4 linked regions of the Schizosaccharomyces pombe genome follow. Changing the gene in region 2 together with the main gene of any one other region gives a genetic interaction. Each region holds a gene or a part of one and is shown on either strand. Other genes may lie near its edges. The genes, in order: crr1, sod1, alg5 and car1.

What was found.
Region 1: mutations in sod1 (region 2) and crr1 together harm fitness less than expected from each alone (positive genetic interaction), as found in Schizosaccharomyces pombe (one large-scale study listed by BioGRID).
Region 3: mutations in sod1 (region 2) and alg5 together harm fitness less than expected from each alone (positive genetic interaction), as found in Schizosaccharomyces pombe (one large-scale study listed by BioGRID).
Region 4: mutations in sod1 (region 2) and car1 together harm fitness less than expected from each alone (positive genetic interaction), as found in Schizosaccharomyces pombe (one large-scale study listed by BioGRID).

Annotation. Positions count from the first base shown.
Region 1 is NC_003423.3:1,656,547-1,660,822, forward strand, and holds crr1 (glycosyl hydrolase family Crr1), read right to left. Parts: upstream 2,531-4,276; 5' UTR 1,900-2,530; coding exon 640-1,899; 3' UTR 511-639; downstream 1-510. Other genes in the region: SPOM_SPBC21B10.08C (uncharacterized protein), read left to right, coding at 1-231.
Region 2 is NC_003424.3:1,002,323-1,005,249, forward strand, and holds sod1 (superoxide dismutase Sod1), read right to left. Parts: upstream 1,279-2,927; 5' UTR 1,142-1,278; coding exon 677-1,141; 3' UTR 516-676; downstream 1-515. UniProt on the Schizosaccharomyces pombe protein: Destroys radicals which are normally produced within the cells and which are toxic to biological systems.
Region 3 is NC_003423.3:4,090,351-4,094,275, reverse strand, and holds alg5 (dolichyl-phosphate beta-glucosyltransferase Alg5), read right to left. Parts: upstream 2,120-3,925; 5' UTR 1,949-2,119; coding exon 1,892-1,948; exon of another isoform or gene 1,737-1,891; coding exon 825-1,736; 3' UTR 524-824; downstream 1-523. Other genes in the region: homoserine O-acetyltransferase Met6, read left to right, coding at 3,450-3,925.
Region 4 is NC_003423.3:323,381-327,146, reverse strand, and holds car1 (arginase Car1), read left to right. Parts: upstream 1-1,916; 5' UTR 1,917-1,984; coding exon 1,985-2,956; 3' UTR 2,957-3,203; downstream 3,204-3,766.

The sequences.
Region 1 (4,276 bases), on a different chromosome or scaffold from region 2:
TTGTATACCGAATATACTGGCGATTCTGCTACTCTTAAGCAACAGCTCACCGTTAATCCTAAAGCTGACACAAGTTTGATTATTCATTCCTTGGATGATCCTAGCCTATATGCTGTCGTTACCAGATACTCCAAGAGTGGTATTGAGCCTGGTCCTGCTGAAATTTCTGGTGCTACTTCTGTTTCTCAGCAAGTGATTTATTCTGGCGTTGGTTTCTTAAACCGCCCTTAGATGTATTTTGCAACAGAAATGAACAAACGTTTTTACAACATATACGAATCCCAAACCTTTTGATATTTCTGAAGAGTACCTTATATGAATATTCCTAAACCCTATATTATTAATCAATTAGCGTAGTGAATTTATTGAAATTTTAAGACCGAAATTTACTTTGTAAACGATGGCATTAGAACACAAGTTATTAAAAAATTCAAGCTCGCATAATTTCAGACAAAACTTAGGCTTATTACTATTTTACGCATTTTGCTAAACACATGCGAAAAAATGTTTCTCTACTTCAAGTTCTAATCAAAATGTATTTTATTTACACACAATATATCGAGATGATATCACGCATGCAATGTTAATGTTATGCCTATATAATCAAGAAAATTCATCAAAAAGAAAAAAGAAGGGGGTTTAGTATTGATAAACGGCCAAGCTTTTGATATTCCAGTATGCTTCAGTAAAATTATGAGGATTATTACCAACAAAGTCGTTGCACGAACCGGGGCATCCTGCTGATGAATAAACTGAAGAACCTGCCCAATCACCACAAAATGTCAAATCAAATAATATTTTTTGCTTTGAAAACATTTTGTCGATATCGCATTTGGTATCTGGAAAGTCAGCTACGGGTTCACTCCATTTAGCAGGTTGGGGAGAACCAGAAGTAATGTCAGATGGAATTTCAGAACGATTAAAAAACCACGATCGAATACCTTCACTACGCCAATCAAGAACAAATACACCGCCTCCATTTTTGTTGAAAGCTTCACCATAAGAAGGACCACTAGGATTTTCAACACCACAGCCAGCATTATACGAGTTTGGAGCATCAACCCAACAATTAGTTTGTAATGCAGTACCAGTCATAACTCGCTTGATATCTTCCATTTCACAACCGTCACCTGTATGCAAAGTGACTTGATTACTAGTACCCACGTTGACACCTTCAACGATATCAATTTCACCACCATTGGGCCAGTCATCACCAAGAGTCCAAAATGCGGGCCATGTGCCGCAACCATAAGGCAAGTGTATAAGATCCAAAATAAAGAGTCCATGTTCAAAGTACTGGGTACTCTGAAGACGAATAGAAGGGCGACCACTGCTATAATTGTGCTTACTATCGGCGGCCATAATGACGTTGGAACTATTCGCGCTAATTAGACCAAGCTTAGCACTGCTGTTACGGTCAAGGTATTGTACGAAGCCATGGGTGGGATCAGTAATGTTCATAAAATCAAAGCCGTCGAAGAATGTGGTGCCTTTATATTCTTTAACAAGGCTATATGTTTTAGCTTTGTAAGAAGGATGGCGATCTCGTACAGCGGTACGATGTCCCAAGACACCACCCAAGACACCAATGAGAACACTACAAATTAAAGCGACTATAAAAATTAATATCCAAATAAAGTAACGTCGGTACCAAGGCAATAACTTTTTCTCTGCAGCCTTTTCGTTAAAGGCTTCATTGTTTTCGTTATTATTATTGCTATCAAGGTTTTCATGGTCATTATCGTGATCATCAATTTCAGTGTCTGTATGATTGTCGATAACATCATTAGTTGACTCGTTCTTGCGTGCCGGGTCGTAAATATTCTCAAAGCTAGCAGAGGACAACGCAGCAGATGAGAGACTATGGCGTGAATCTGTAGTGGAATCAGGAATACCCATTGCAAAAGTAATAAAAGTTAATCAAATTTCAACAAATTAAAGAAGGGCGAGAAAAATCAAAAAGAAAGAAAAGATAAGAATAAAAAGAGCGGGAAGTAATGAGACACGATCAAATAAAAAAATGCCAATCTGGTGAGCTATGCACCAAGTTCAGAAATGGAAATAAAATGCTAGTAAAAATAACCAAACTCAAGGATATCTTGTTAAAGGGGAATAAAAAAGGGAAATATGGGATAATGCTTTGTAGAGATGAGAAATGCGGTTTAAAATGAAAATAATTATTATCGAAAGACGATAGATAGGGAGTTTATAATATGGACAAAAAATATGCAGTGATATACAAAGAAAGGATAAAAAGCCAACCAGCTTTAATTATAAGTGTATTTATATATTTCAGTATATAGACACGCACATACACAGACTTATGAAATCAGCCTCTCTAAAAGAACGATTCTGTAATCTTACTGACTAGGCAAGATTTTACATGTAAATGCGATTATATACTAATGCAGCCAAATACTGGGTCTTCTTAAAGCAAATATATGTCTGAGAAATGATGGCTGCGAATGCGGATACCAGAAATTGTGGCTTATACTAAAAGACAAAATCCGTTCACGTAAGTGGGAGAATCCACGATTGTGCTTTTGAAAAATTCTATGAAGGAAGCTTACTGCTAGTAAATGTTACGCTACAGTAATTCTCACTATTCGTCATATGTTCTCGGTCAATTAGTTATAATACCGATCAAACCGGCAGCATTAAGCAAGAGTTTAAAAGCGATTATACTTCTTTTATAGATAAAAAAATTTATAAAAATAAACAGAGAATTCTTGTCTCAGTGTGTTGTAATTAATTCTTGCATTGTTATTTATTAAACAAATAACTCTTTATAATAATTTTTACCAGCCATTATCTGAAGCGGCATGCATAAGATTATAATTTGATCATAACATGACATTTCAATGCAAATCGTTAATATGTTTATATTGTGTAGACGACATTCATAAAGAGTGCAATGTGATTGTATTGCCAAAAAGGCAAGGCATGTTGATCCCTCGTGTCCAATAGTGCAATGGCCTTAGTGTATACATGTAACTAATAAATCGCTTTGCATAGTTTTATTAATTTGCCAAGGAAATCGTCAACAAGAAGATCACCATTTTCTTCGTTTTATTTTCTTTTCCCTGAGTTTTTTCACTTGAGTGCGGCTAAAGCACAAAAGGATTTCTTCATTCATTGGAAGGGGAAAGAAGTATTTGAACCTGCATCAATGATTTATTATGTAGATTAACGTTTATCTACTGTAAGTCAACTTTTTGTATTTAAATTATCATGAGACAAAACGAAGTACGAGTATTATCCATGATCTATTTTCATTCACTGCAAATGATTTAAAAGTATAGAGTTCACTGATGAATTGTAAAATTGTTGAAAAGTAAACTCACTAAATTGAAAAAGAATTTGTTAAAATTCGCTGAATAGGTTGAATACTTTAGTAAACTCTATATCTTGTCTCTGTTTCCAGTTTCTTTGCATGCCGTCGTAATATCTACACAGTGTTAAGTTTTTATTTCATTGAAGAGACAGATTATCATCGTAATTTAATGAGATTTCAATATTATTGATCAGCTAACTTTGTTAATTTAGCTATACTGGTGACTTTCATAACCTTTGTTTACTGAATTGCAAACATCTTCTACTAGCAGGTGGGAAAGCATGGTTCGCTAAGAATTTACTAATGGTTATCTTATTAGATCTTTATTTCATTGCCATTTAAATCGCAACCAAATCTTATCTCCATCTGTATATACAATATTACTGTATTGCTCTCATGTATCAAATCGTGTTCAAACTGCAAAAATCGCTTTCCGTTCATTTACCATTCTCAGGAAGAATTAGCAGTTCTACGAATCATATCCTTCCTTTCACCTCAAACTAATTTGATGCAACGAGTTATTCATTTTAACCTTGAAATAATTTTCTATCGAAGCTTCTCTTTATACTTTTCTAACACTATTTAGTTTATAAAAGTACTTTGTATATAGTCAAGGCGAATATTTCTGCAAAATAAACATATACTATCAAATCTTTTACCATCACCCTGCGCATCCTTAACAGTTTTACGGAATTCAAACATTTCCCTTATGAACATTAGCGGAAAAACAGCGTAATTTGAGCGGTATTATTTAGTTTTGAAGATTAACGGTTTACGCGTTTTATTTTCGTGAAGTGTGATTTTCATTTACCATTATCCTGAAGTGCAAACCCTCATTGATTTTAAGTATTTCTATATGATTTTAAACTACAATTAAGTTGCTGCTTAAAGCATATTGTTTGTCATTACATCTGTATAAAAAATTCCTGTCTATCAGGGTGT
Region 2 (2,927 bases):
TTTTAAAATACAACTTGTGCAGATGTTTTCAGTTTACACAAACTTGCCTGTCGTTATTGTTTAGTTGAAATTAGTTCGTAAAAATTCATTGATACGTAAAAGTAATAACAAAATCAACAAAGATGAAACGATGGTATTATGATTAATAAAAAAAAAGGCTTCACCCATTAGAATTTTAACAAGATGTGTTGATATTGCTACTATGTGTGTATCTATTAATCAACATTCTATATATCTTTTTTTAAACAATACGAAAAGCACTTTCTATCATCTTTATGCACGAACTCAACGATGCAAAACAAAGTTTTCTGACTAAAAGATCAAAAATTGTTGCTGCTTTTGCTTCTTCATTATCAATACCGAAACAAAGTTACAACAATTCCTTCTAATTAACTGAATTTTATGTAAACTCGAACGCAGAGTCTTAAGGACAAAAATACATCACTACATTTTTTTACACATATAACATAATAGTAACAAACAGCTTCCACAAAGCTACAGTACTTATCATCATCAATTAAATTAAGTTTTTTAATACAGAACCTATAGAAGCATAATATACGGAACTTTTCATAAAAAAAAAGAAATTTGAGATCACTCAACTAAATGATAACAATACTAACCAACACCTAAACCCACAGCCATTTGAACAAAAAGACGTAAAAACTCAATAAATTTAGACGGCAATACCAATGACACCACAAGCGTTACGTGCACCAGCGTTACCAGTCTTCAAAGACTCTTCACTAGTACCCTTACCAAGATCATCCTCACCGGCATGAATGACAATGGTACGGCCAATGATGCTGTTGGCACCAAACAATGAGATAACAGAATCAGAGAAAGTAGTCTTGATGTTGCCCTGAGCATCGCTTTCCAAGTTACCAAGATCACCAACGTGACGAACAGCGGCGGTACGGTCACCGTGAGTCTTACCCTCTGGGTTAAAGTGAGGACCAGCAGAGGTACAACCGTTGGTATTATCACCGAATTGGTGAATATGGAAACCACGCTTGGCATTAGCGTCATTGCCAACGAGATCCACAATCACAGAAACTTGAGAGTTTTGATCGACTTGTTCAAAAGTAACGACACCACTGACCTTAGAGTCACCACGAAGAACTGCTACAGCTCTAACCATTTTGTATGACGATAATTTACTTTAAAAAAATACAACAAGAGAAGGGGTGTTTTGAGTAATTAAGTGTTTTGAAGGAAAATCAATAAGATTTTAACCACACTTCAAAGTTGGAGATTTCGAAAATTTTGTTTGGAATTGGAAGAGGATAGGGCGGCGTGTCATCGCTTATATAGTAAATAGCTCCACGCGGAATATACATGAAATTTTAACGATATCAACTCAAATCAATTTTTCGATATGACCAATGTTTTTTTATATTCTAAAAACGAAGAAATTGTCTTTATACTTATCGATTTAACAAATTTGCTTTACAAAGCATTGTCTAGTCCGTGCCTTCGAGCCTCCAAAATAGGCCAATAAGCTACGCCGAGCATCACCTCAGCTTGGCGTTGGCTTACTCCACCAGTATTCGTAATCATATTACGTGCTCCTTCGCGGAATTGAAATTCCGCTAAAGATGATAACGCGCCACTCGAAGAATAAATAACGATATCTAAAGTTGCGGTAATAGCAATCGTCGTTCTCGTTTTCGTAGACGTTAAAACATTTAGCGTAAGGTAAGAATGACCACGTTGAAGTAAGGTCGCTAATGGGGGTAAAGATCTTCAAAGAAAGGGAAACTTGAGTAGACAAACATTGCATAGAGATTCAAATGCATAGACTAGCTAAAATATCAAACCCCCATTTGGTTCAGTAAATCCCACTAGAGTTCGCAGAATAAAAGTCCTACATGTATATAGATTAGCGTTTTGAGTCTAGGTGTGAAGAGCCTAAGGCCGGTCGGTAGACTTGCAAAGCCCGTTCGTTCACGGAAGTTGTTAGGAGCAATCGCTTGTAACAGTCAAATTGTTATGAAGCTTCAATCGACGTGAGGAGGATAATAAAATTCGCTCTAGAAAGAAATATTCGTGAACTCATAATTTTCCCATAATGAACAAACCTCTCAGTATGCATTTTTGAGAAAGAATCGCAAGTACAACTGCTGATAATATCATTGAGCTTTTAAAAAATAAAATAACATAACCATAGTAATGCTTTGTACTAGGAAGCGAGTGACACTATGGTTATTTTGGAGTTAAAAAAAATCCTGATGATCTGTTTTGCAAATACGTTAATCGCTTCTATCCATCGATCTACCTACATATTATTTTGGTAGAAAACAGAAAAAGTTCTCTGAGGGGGACGCTGTTTATATAAGAAATTTGCCAAGATGTATAAAGTATTATGCCGAAAACAGTAATTACCTTGAGCTACTTATTTTATATGACTTATTTTTGCTATTCGTGAAGTAGCAATATGAGACTATTTTGCTAGTGCGCGAAAGAAATGGCTCATTACAAAAAATAGCGTTTCGCATAATACTAAAGGCGGTATATTCCTAAATACAATTCTCTTAATCATTCTACCGTAATTGGGTACATTACGATATGTCAGCAATACTACACTACGCTATGATACACTACGTTGCGTATCACTATATGTCATATGTTGGAATACTAGCTAAGATCCGTTTATTGATAATCACGGGTAACTATCCGTCTATATACATAGATACCCGTTGATAACAACTATTTAGAAATATTATAAATAGCGTTACAACTGAACCTCGTTCCTCAGTTCAGTTATGAGCTATATTAGTGATAGGTAACATTATAGCCCAGTTAATACAATACCTATACTCAGTTGCTACTTATACAACCTGTGTATTGTAATATAATAGACCACAAGGAAAACTCACCGCAGTTCTTCGTATCCTTAAATCAGATACCAAACTGCGTAGCTTACA
Region 3 (3,925 bases), on a different chromosome or scaffold from region 2:
GTAGTTGAAAAAAGAAAATTGTAATCGCTCTGATTATCTTGATTTCGGTTTTATTACTGCTGATAATTATACTGCGTTGTCTCACTGATAAAATCAAAAAATCTCATTTGCAGTATAACTCATTATATTTTTATCACGCTAGATAGTGCTATATTTTTTTAAAGAAGCTATACGCAATAGCGCTGTATTCAAATTTGCTATGGCAAGTTGAATAATGGGTAGGTAAACCATTTAATTTACTATTGCTAATGCTGAAGTTTAAATGGACGGAACTATTTTTCTGTTTCGTACTTCATGTTATGAAAATTATTTAGTTTCATCTTGCTAAGATTTATTGATGCTGACTTTACAATAAATATAGACGGATACACACGCAACAACGTTGAAAACCAAACCTAGGTAAATATGTTCTTGTGGTTGCATATATACAAAAAAGTTGAGTTTTGGCTAGAGACTCGGTTGAAAACTAACAGCTGCGTAATAATAACAATACATCTATTATGTTCCTTACTACCACGAACTGTGAATATTAAAAAGAATTTAATTAGTAAATTTATTAGTCAAGTAATTTTTCATAAAAAGAACGTCATAAGTACATATATGGGGAAATGAGAAGTATTTACAACATTGAAAAAAAATCGAGCAAGTAGAAAATCGCTTACTCAAAGATAGAATATTCCGCTTGGAGATAAAACAATCAATAAAAAAGGAACAAAGAGTAATAGGAAACGAACCGCCTAAAAATTCTTATGTATCTCTCATAATTTAATTATATCTCAGGAAAAATGTATAATGAACAATAACATCCACAACAATACGTCCAATTAAGTAATACGCTTAGCCGAGGGCCTTTCCCATATACCAAATGTATAGTTCAACCGAATTACCAACAAATCGATTGCCATTGAAATACTGTCTTTCAAGAGAGTCATTTTACTACCGCCAACTTCATGCCAAGTAATGGGAACTTCAATGATAGGTAAACCGAAAAAACGAGCAAGTGTTAATACTTCAATATCAAAAATCCATCCTTCAACATGCATACGAGGGAAAATACTTTGATATGCCTCACGAGAAAAAAGCTTGAAGCCACATTGCGTATCGCCAATCTCCCTGATCCCTAAGATTTGTAAAAGTTTGTGAAAACAGTGCATCAAAAAGTTCCTAATAAATGAGCGCTTTACTACTGCAGCCGTGTTCACCATATGAGCACGCGAGCCAACAACGACACCACCCCTTGGTCCGGGTGGCATATTTTTAAAAAGGAGCTCCAAATCAGAAAATTGAGAAGCACCATCTGCATCAGCAAAAATTGCATATTGACCTCTAGCGTACAACATGCCCCAAGTTACCGCACCGCCTTTACCACGATTCCGTTTGAGTGAGCAAACTCGTAAATGATCCCGCAAATCCAGTTTGTTAGAAAACTCTAGCACTGCATTCACCGTCGTATCCTTACTCTCGTCGTCAACTATAAGGATCTCCCACCGACGTTGTCCTGCTGAAGAAGAGGAACGATAATATTTTTCCAAGTGATCGACTGTCTCTTGGAGCATGTTTCCGATTCGTTTAGACTCATTATACGCGGGAACAATGACCGTTATTTGTATATTATCAGAAGTGCTCCACTTCTCAAGAGTCAAACTTTTTTTTTGACCGTTCTCAATGAATACACATGTTTCCTCTCCTTCCAGTTGCTTCCTCGGGCAATGAGAATGAGTTAAATAATAGTAAACCTATATTTGGGTTAATGAATATTCGGGGAAAAATTTGGTCTAATGTCACATCAAAAAATCGAAAGTACAGATAAACTAAACAGGTTCTGCCCGCAACGACCTTATTTACCGACGGGTGGACATGAATGAGAAGCATGCTAGCTAATATTGCTTACCAAGAACAAAAGGATAAATCCCGCAAGGCAGGTGTATAAAACGATGTATACTACCATGTCGTAACTATGCAAAAAGCAGAAGGGTTAAGATTTATGATATTGGAAGAAATAACTCATTCAAAAAAAAAATTACTCCACTCCGTTTATACTCTAAGCTATTTTTTAATGAAATCCGAGCTTTTGCAGTTACAAAGCATGCGGTGGGATTATTTGTGTTTGGCTCTGGCTAACTGCCGACTGGACTGGACAACAGTAATCGTTTAGTCATAGCAGACGAATTTTTTAGTACGAGTTGGTGAGTAGCAGTCAACAACTTAAAATGTCTACTTTTACAAGCAATTAAGCATAGACATATCGATTACAATAGACTCTCATTGTTGCTCAACTTCTGATAGATCACAAAAGTCAAGCATACTTGTTATAATTATATAATTATTTTGACTATTTGGGAGACATTGTATTAAAAGAATAGGTGCCTTTACTCTTTCCTAAAAAACTTACATGACTGTAATTCTGCGTGGATATAAATATTTTTTCATGGAACATCGTATGATATATCTTACGGCTACTTAGTATTAAGGGCGCAAGTTGTTCAATTGCCTTAACCTTTTTGAATAGGATGAACTACAGGTTTGGCTGGGTCATAAAATATGTCTTGAGTATTCCTTCATTTGTAAATTGATAAACTAAAACACTTAACGTTGAAAACACTTGTTTAAAATTGGCTTCAAGTCAATTAATTGTAAATTTAAGGAAACTAGCAAGTAATCATTATTTAGACCAAGCGCCTGTTTATTTAACATTATTACACCTTTTCCTTATCGATTCGTTTATCTTCGAAAGTTGATCTCGCAGAGTCCTGATCCATGAAATGACTTTTTATAAAACATTAGCCTTTGTAATTTTTTTAATAAATTCATCCTTTTCATACATGATTTTACTGAAATTACGGTTAAAACTGTTATATTTATATAAGATAACAAAAAAGTCTCGTTGTTTGAATAGCATATTATGAAGTACCCGTATACCAAACTCGGTTATTGATTACCGTTCAATTAATGTTGTCTAACAAAATACTAAGCAGACCGTTAAATTAGGTTGAGATAAAAGTTTATAAACTTACCACTTCTCCTTTCACCATAACCGAATAGGAAAAAAAATCTTGGTATTCAAGTGTTTTTGGGTAACTTTGGAATTTAACAAATTAGCAAATATAGTTGCTTACCGTTCCTGGTACTAAAAAACCTAAAATTTTTATTGCTGCGCAATACCGTTAGTTTTGGTTTTTTTTCGTAAAAACTTTCTGGTTTTTCGATTTTTTGTTTTTCACGCTTAAAAGAAGAGAAGCTAATTGTATTTGCTTACTCAACACAAAAGCAAGTAATTCATTCTTTGTGTTAAACCTTACACTAATCTGCTTTTGTCAAAAAATTTTTTTTTGGTTATTTAAAACTCCTACCATTGAGTTTTGTTAGTTACATCTTTGAGAACTCAGTTCTATCAAAAAATTTAGTTTCTTTCATTTTTTCAAAATTTGACTATCAATCGTTTGATAAAAATGGAATCTCAATCTCCGATTGAATCAATTGTCTTTACTGACTCCTGTCATCCGTCTCAGCAAGAAAATAAATTTGTTCAGCTTATTTCAGATCAAAAAATTGCAATTGTTCCCAAATTTACGTTGGAGTGTGGCGACATCCTTTACGATGTTCCCGTTGCCTTCAAGACTTGGGGTACTTTGAATAAAGAAGGAAACAATTGTCTTCTTCTTTGTCATGCTTTAAGTGGTTCTGCTGATGCTGGAGATTGGTGGGGTCCTTTACTCGGTCCTGGTCGTGCGTTTGATCCATCACATTTCTTTATCGTATGCCTTAATTCTCTTGGTAGCCCATACGGAAGCGCCTCTCCTGTTACATGGAACGCTGAGACTCATAGTGTTTATGGGCCAGAATTTCCTTTAGCAACCATACGTGATGATGTAAACATCCATAAACTTATTTTACAAAGATTGGGTGTAAAGCAAATTGCTATGGC
Region 4 (3,766 bases), on a different chromosome or scaffold from region 2:
TAGATACTGGTTTCTATCATACCGAACAATGTGGAAATGCTTACTGCAAATTTGTCTTCTAAACAATGAATCGTTGTCATGAGAATACTCGTTTATGACACAATTGCAGCGTGTTATTCGATTTTTTACTTGTTTTTGTGCACGGCATGTAGACCGTGTTCAGCATGTCTAGATCATGTAGTGTCAATTTTGATAGATCGGTTGACATTTCAATAAAAATATGGACATGACGGTATACAACACAATAGATCATTTTTTTATTTAGTGTTGATCAGTAATCTAGTGATATATTTATTTAGCTAGATCATAACCCTAATTTTTTCTATATTTTCATTACCCTTTCGGTTTTTTATGAAATTATGATGGTTTGATACATATTTGCAATTACAATATATACTGCTAATACTTAAATAAATCACGTTGCTCCCGTGGCCTAATGGCTAGGGCATTTGACTTCTAATCAAGGGATTGTGGGTTCGAGTCCCGCCGGGAGCTTTACGTTTTTTGTTTTTCGATCAGTTACTAATTGTTTGAATTTTCTTAATTTGAATGATGAACTTATTATAACAGATTTTAATAACTTGAAATCCTGAGGATGAAAATAAACATTAAATACTTTTCACCTAATAGTTGCCAAACGCATATGGGTGATAATAATCTAGTTATATCCATGCTATCCACGGCGGATTAATGACCGAAATTAAGTCTCACCCTTTTTCAAATTATTGCTAAAAGAAGCATGCTTTCCTTTGATCATCATAAGCATTGTTTACTCGTTGAACAAAAAAAAAACTAAAAAATATAAAAATCGATTCCAATACAAAATCAAAAATTTAATCGATGCATCAACCGGGAGTCGAACCCGGAGCTAATGCTTGGAAGGCATTGATGTTACCGCTACACCACTGATGCGTTACTGAGAGAGATAATTAAGTTGCAAAATTTATACCTTAAAAATTATTACAAATTAAGGAAATCGAGCAGAGGTCAGCAGCACACCAGTAGAAATTATAAATTTTGTTATTTTTAATAAAAACATAGTTAAACTTGACAAAAAGATATATACATTTTCCTTAAACTGATAACATTACAACACCTTTTAGCACAACGTCAATTATAGCTTTAATAGCTTCTTAAACTCGCTTGCTAATCTTGGCGATATTGTTGCTAGTTAAATTAATTTTTATCCTTTACTCATTTAAAAACCAACATTTTTATATTCCTCCTATACCAATGTTACAATAATCGTTACAAAATATTCAATCAATTTAATAAATTTTTTTATTTCTTTTTCTTTTTCTTTTTTGGTTACAATGTTCAAAAAATATAAGTTATTCATCAGATATTCTCCATATTAAACTTGTAAATACAAAACAAACTACCGTCTGAATAAAATTTCATCTATCATGCTATAATACAATACAATTCCGAAAATAAGTCACTTGACCCATGGAATTCCGTAGCTTAGTTTCGATCTTTTCCGTTCCATGGTAAATATGACTTGTTTCAAAAAATGGCTATGGAAAATATTCCCAGAGGGGTTGGGTGTATATTATGATTTTACGTCCTATTTCTATTAATTTTCCATAGTGTGATTTTTTCCTTTCTTGAATTACTTTATTTTTATTTAATTTATTTTCTTTGCTTTATTTCATTTCGTTTGATTTATTTTATTTATTTATTTATTTTTTTTTTTAATAATAGTGAACCGAGCTATCGTTACGGAGTATAGAAATGTTGAGTCCGTGGAATTAATATCCCGTTTTTAGGTTGATGAGTCTAATATGATTGCCCGCAAGATCTGATAACGGCCGGTAGATAAAATACTCAAAGACTATTGAGTAAGCAAACGCTCACTATTTATTAAAGCCGTCATCGGCATGAAAAACGGAATTCCATAAATTTCGCAACCTCCCATCTACTTCAAAGGGTCCTTTGCTATACACAACATCGTTTCTACCTGACTGAATCAAAAATATATACAATGTCTCCTCATAAAATACCCGAAGTACATAGACATATTATGTCTAGTAGATACATGGAGGGAAATGCCGTCTCTATCATAAATATGCCATTTTCAGGCGGTCAACCCAAGGACGGTGCTGAATTGGCTCCAGAAATGATTGAGGCGGCTGGATTGCCTGAAGACTTGGAGCGTCTTGGTTATAGTGTCAACGTCGTTCAAAATCCCAAATTTAAAAGTCGACCTTTAAAAGAAGGCCCTAATCAAGCCCTCATGAAAAACCCACTCTACGTTAGCAATGTTACTCGCCAAGTTCGTAATATTGTTCAACAGGAACTAGAGAAGCAAAGGATCGCGGTCAACATTGGAGGAGATCATTCACTTGCCATTGGCACTGTTGAAGGTGTACAAGCTGTCTACGATGATGCTTGTGTCTTGTGGATTGATGCCCATGCTGATATTAATACCCCCGATTCATCCCCTTCAAAGAATCTTCATGGCTGCCCATTGTCCTTTTCCTTGGGATATGCCGAACCTCTTCCTGAAGAGTTTGCTTGGACAAGAAGAGTAATTGAAGAGCGTCGTCTTGCGTTCATCGGTTTGCGCGATTTGGATCCTATGGAACGTGCTTTTCTTCGTGAACGCAGCATCACTGCTTACACTATGCACGATGTTGATAAATATGGAATAGCCAGAGTAGTAGAAATGGCATTGGAACACATCAATCCAGGAAGGAGACGTCCCATTCATCTTTCTTTTGACGTCGATGCCTGTGATCCAATTGTCGCTCCAGCTACTGGAACCCGTGTGCCAGGCGGTTTGACCTTTCGTGAAGCAATGTACATTTGTGAAAGTGTTGCAGAAACTGGCTCTCTAGTTGCTGTTGATGTTATGGAAGTTAACCCACTTTTAGGCAACAAAGAGGAAGCCAAGACAACTGTGGATTTAGCTCGCTCTATTGTTCGAACTTGTCTTGGTCAAACGTTATTGTAGAACCATGTATTTTATGCTATATCATGAATTAGAAGTATGTTACGCGTCGGATTAGCTACTGTGCTTTTTCAACGTCCCAACACACAAGTATATTAATAAACTCAAAATCTCATAATTCAGACACTGTACCGACAAACTTGGGCAAAGTTACTGTTTGGTTCTCAGATACTTGACTAGACTATTTAAGAAAGAATTTTACTTTTTCACATGAATTGAATTGCTTAGGTGCTAAGAACCCGAAATGTATGCTTTAGACTGTTGACTAAATATTATAATTATGACCAATATTAACTTTCAATTAAGTAATTCTTTTACTACTCTTTCAATTAAACTGATGGTCTTTTAGTACATTTATGAAGCGTCAAAATATTTTTTTACCAACCATAAACCGTTTTTTTCCTCCTTGTAATTCAAATTTTTCATAATGTCTTAACAAAAATGAAATTTTCTATTCGAATTTTCCCACTAATTGAAATTTAAAATTTGAACCCCAATACCATTACCATAATATTAAAAAAAATAACTTTGAGGTACTAATAGTTTCTGTCAGCGCTAGCTAATGAACGAGAAAAATAACTGTAAAAAAAAAAATATTGTCAATTTCCATCATACAACGAAAAAAAGATAACCATCGTCCTTATTTTTGATACCTTTTTAGATTTTTCCTCCGTGGTAAGAATTAATAATTTGTTTTTCTTTCACTTTCACCCACGGATGCATAACAGCCATCGTTTGTATCTTATCTATTTTTGCTTATATACTTGACAAGTGCGACGAGCCATCAATCCGAAAAAAGATCTTTATCATTTT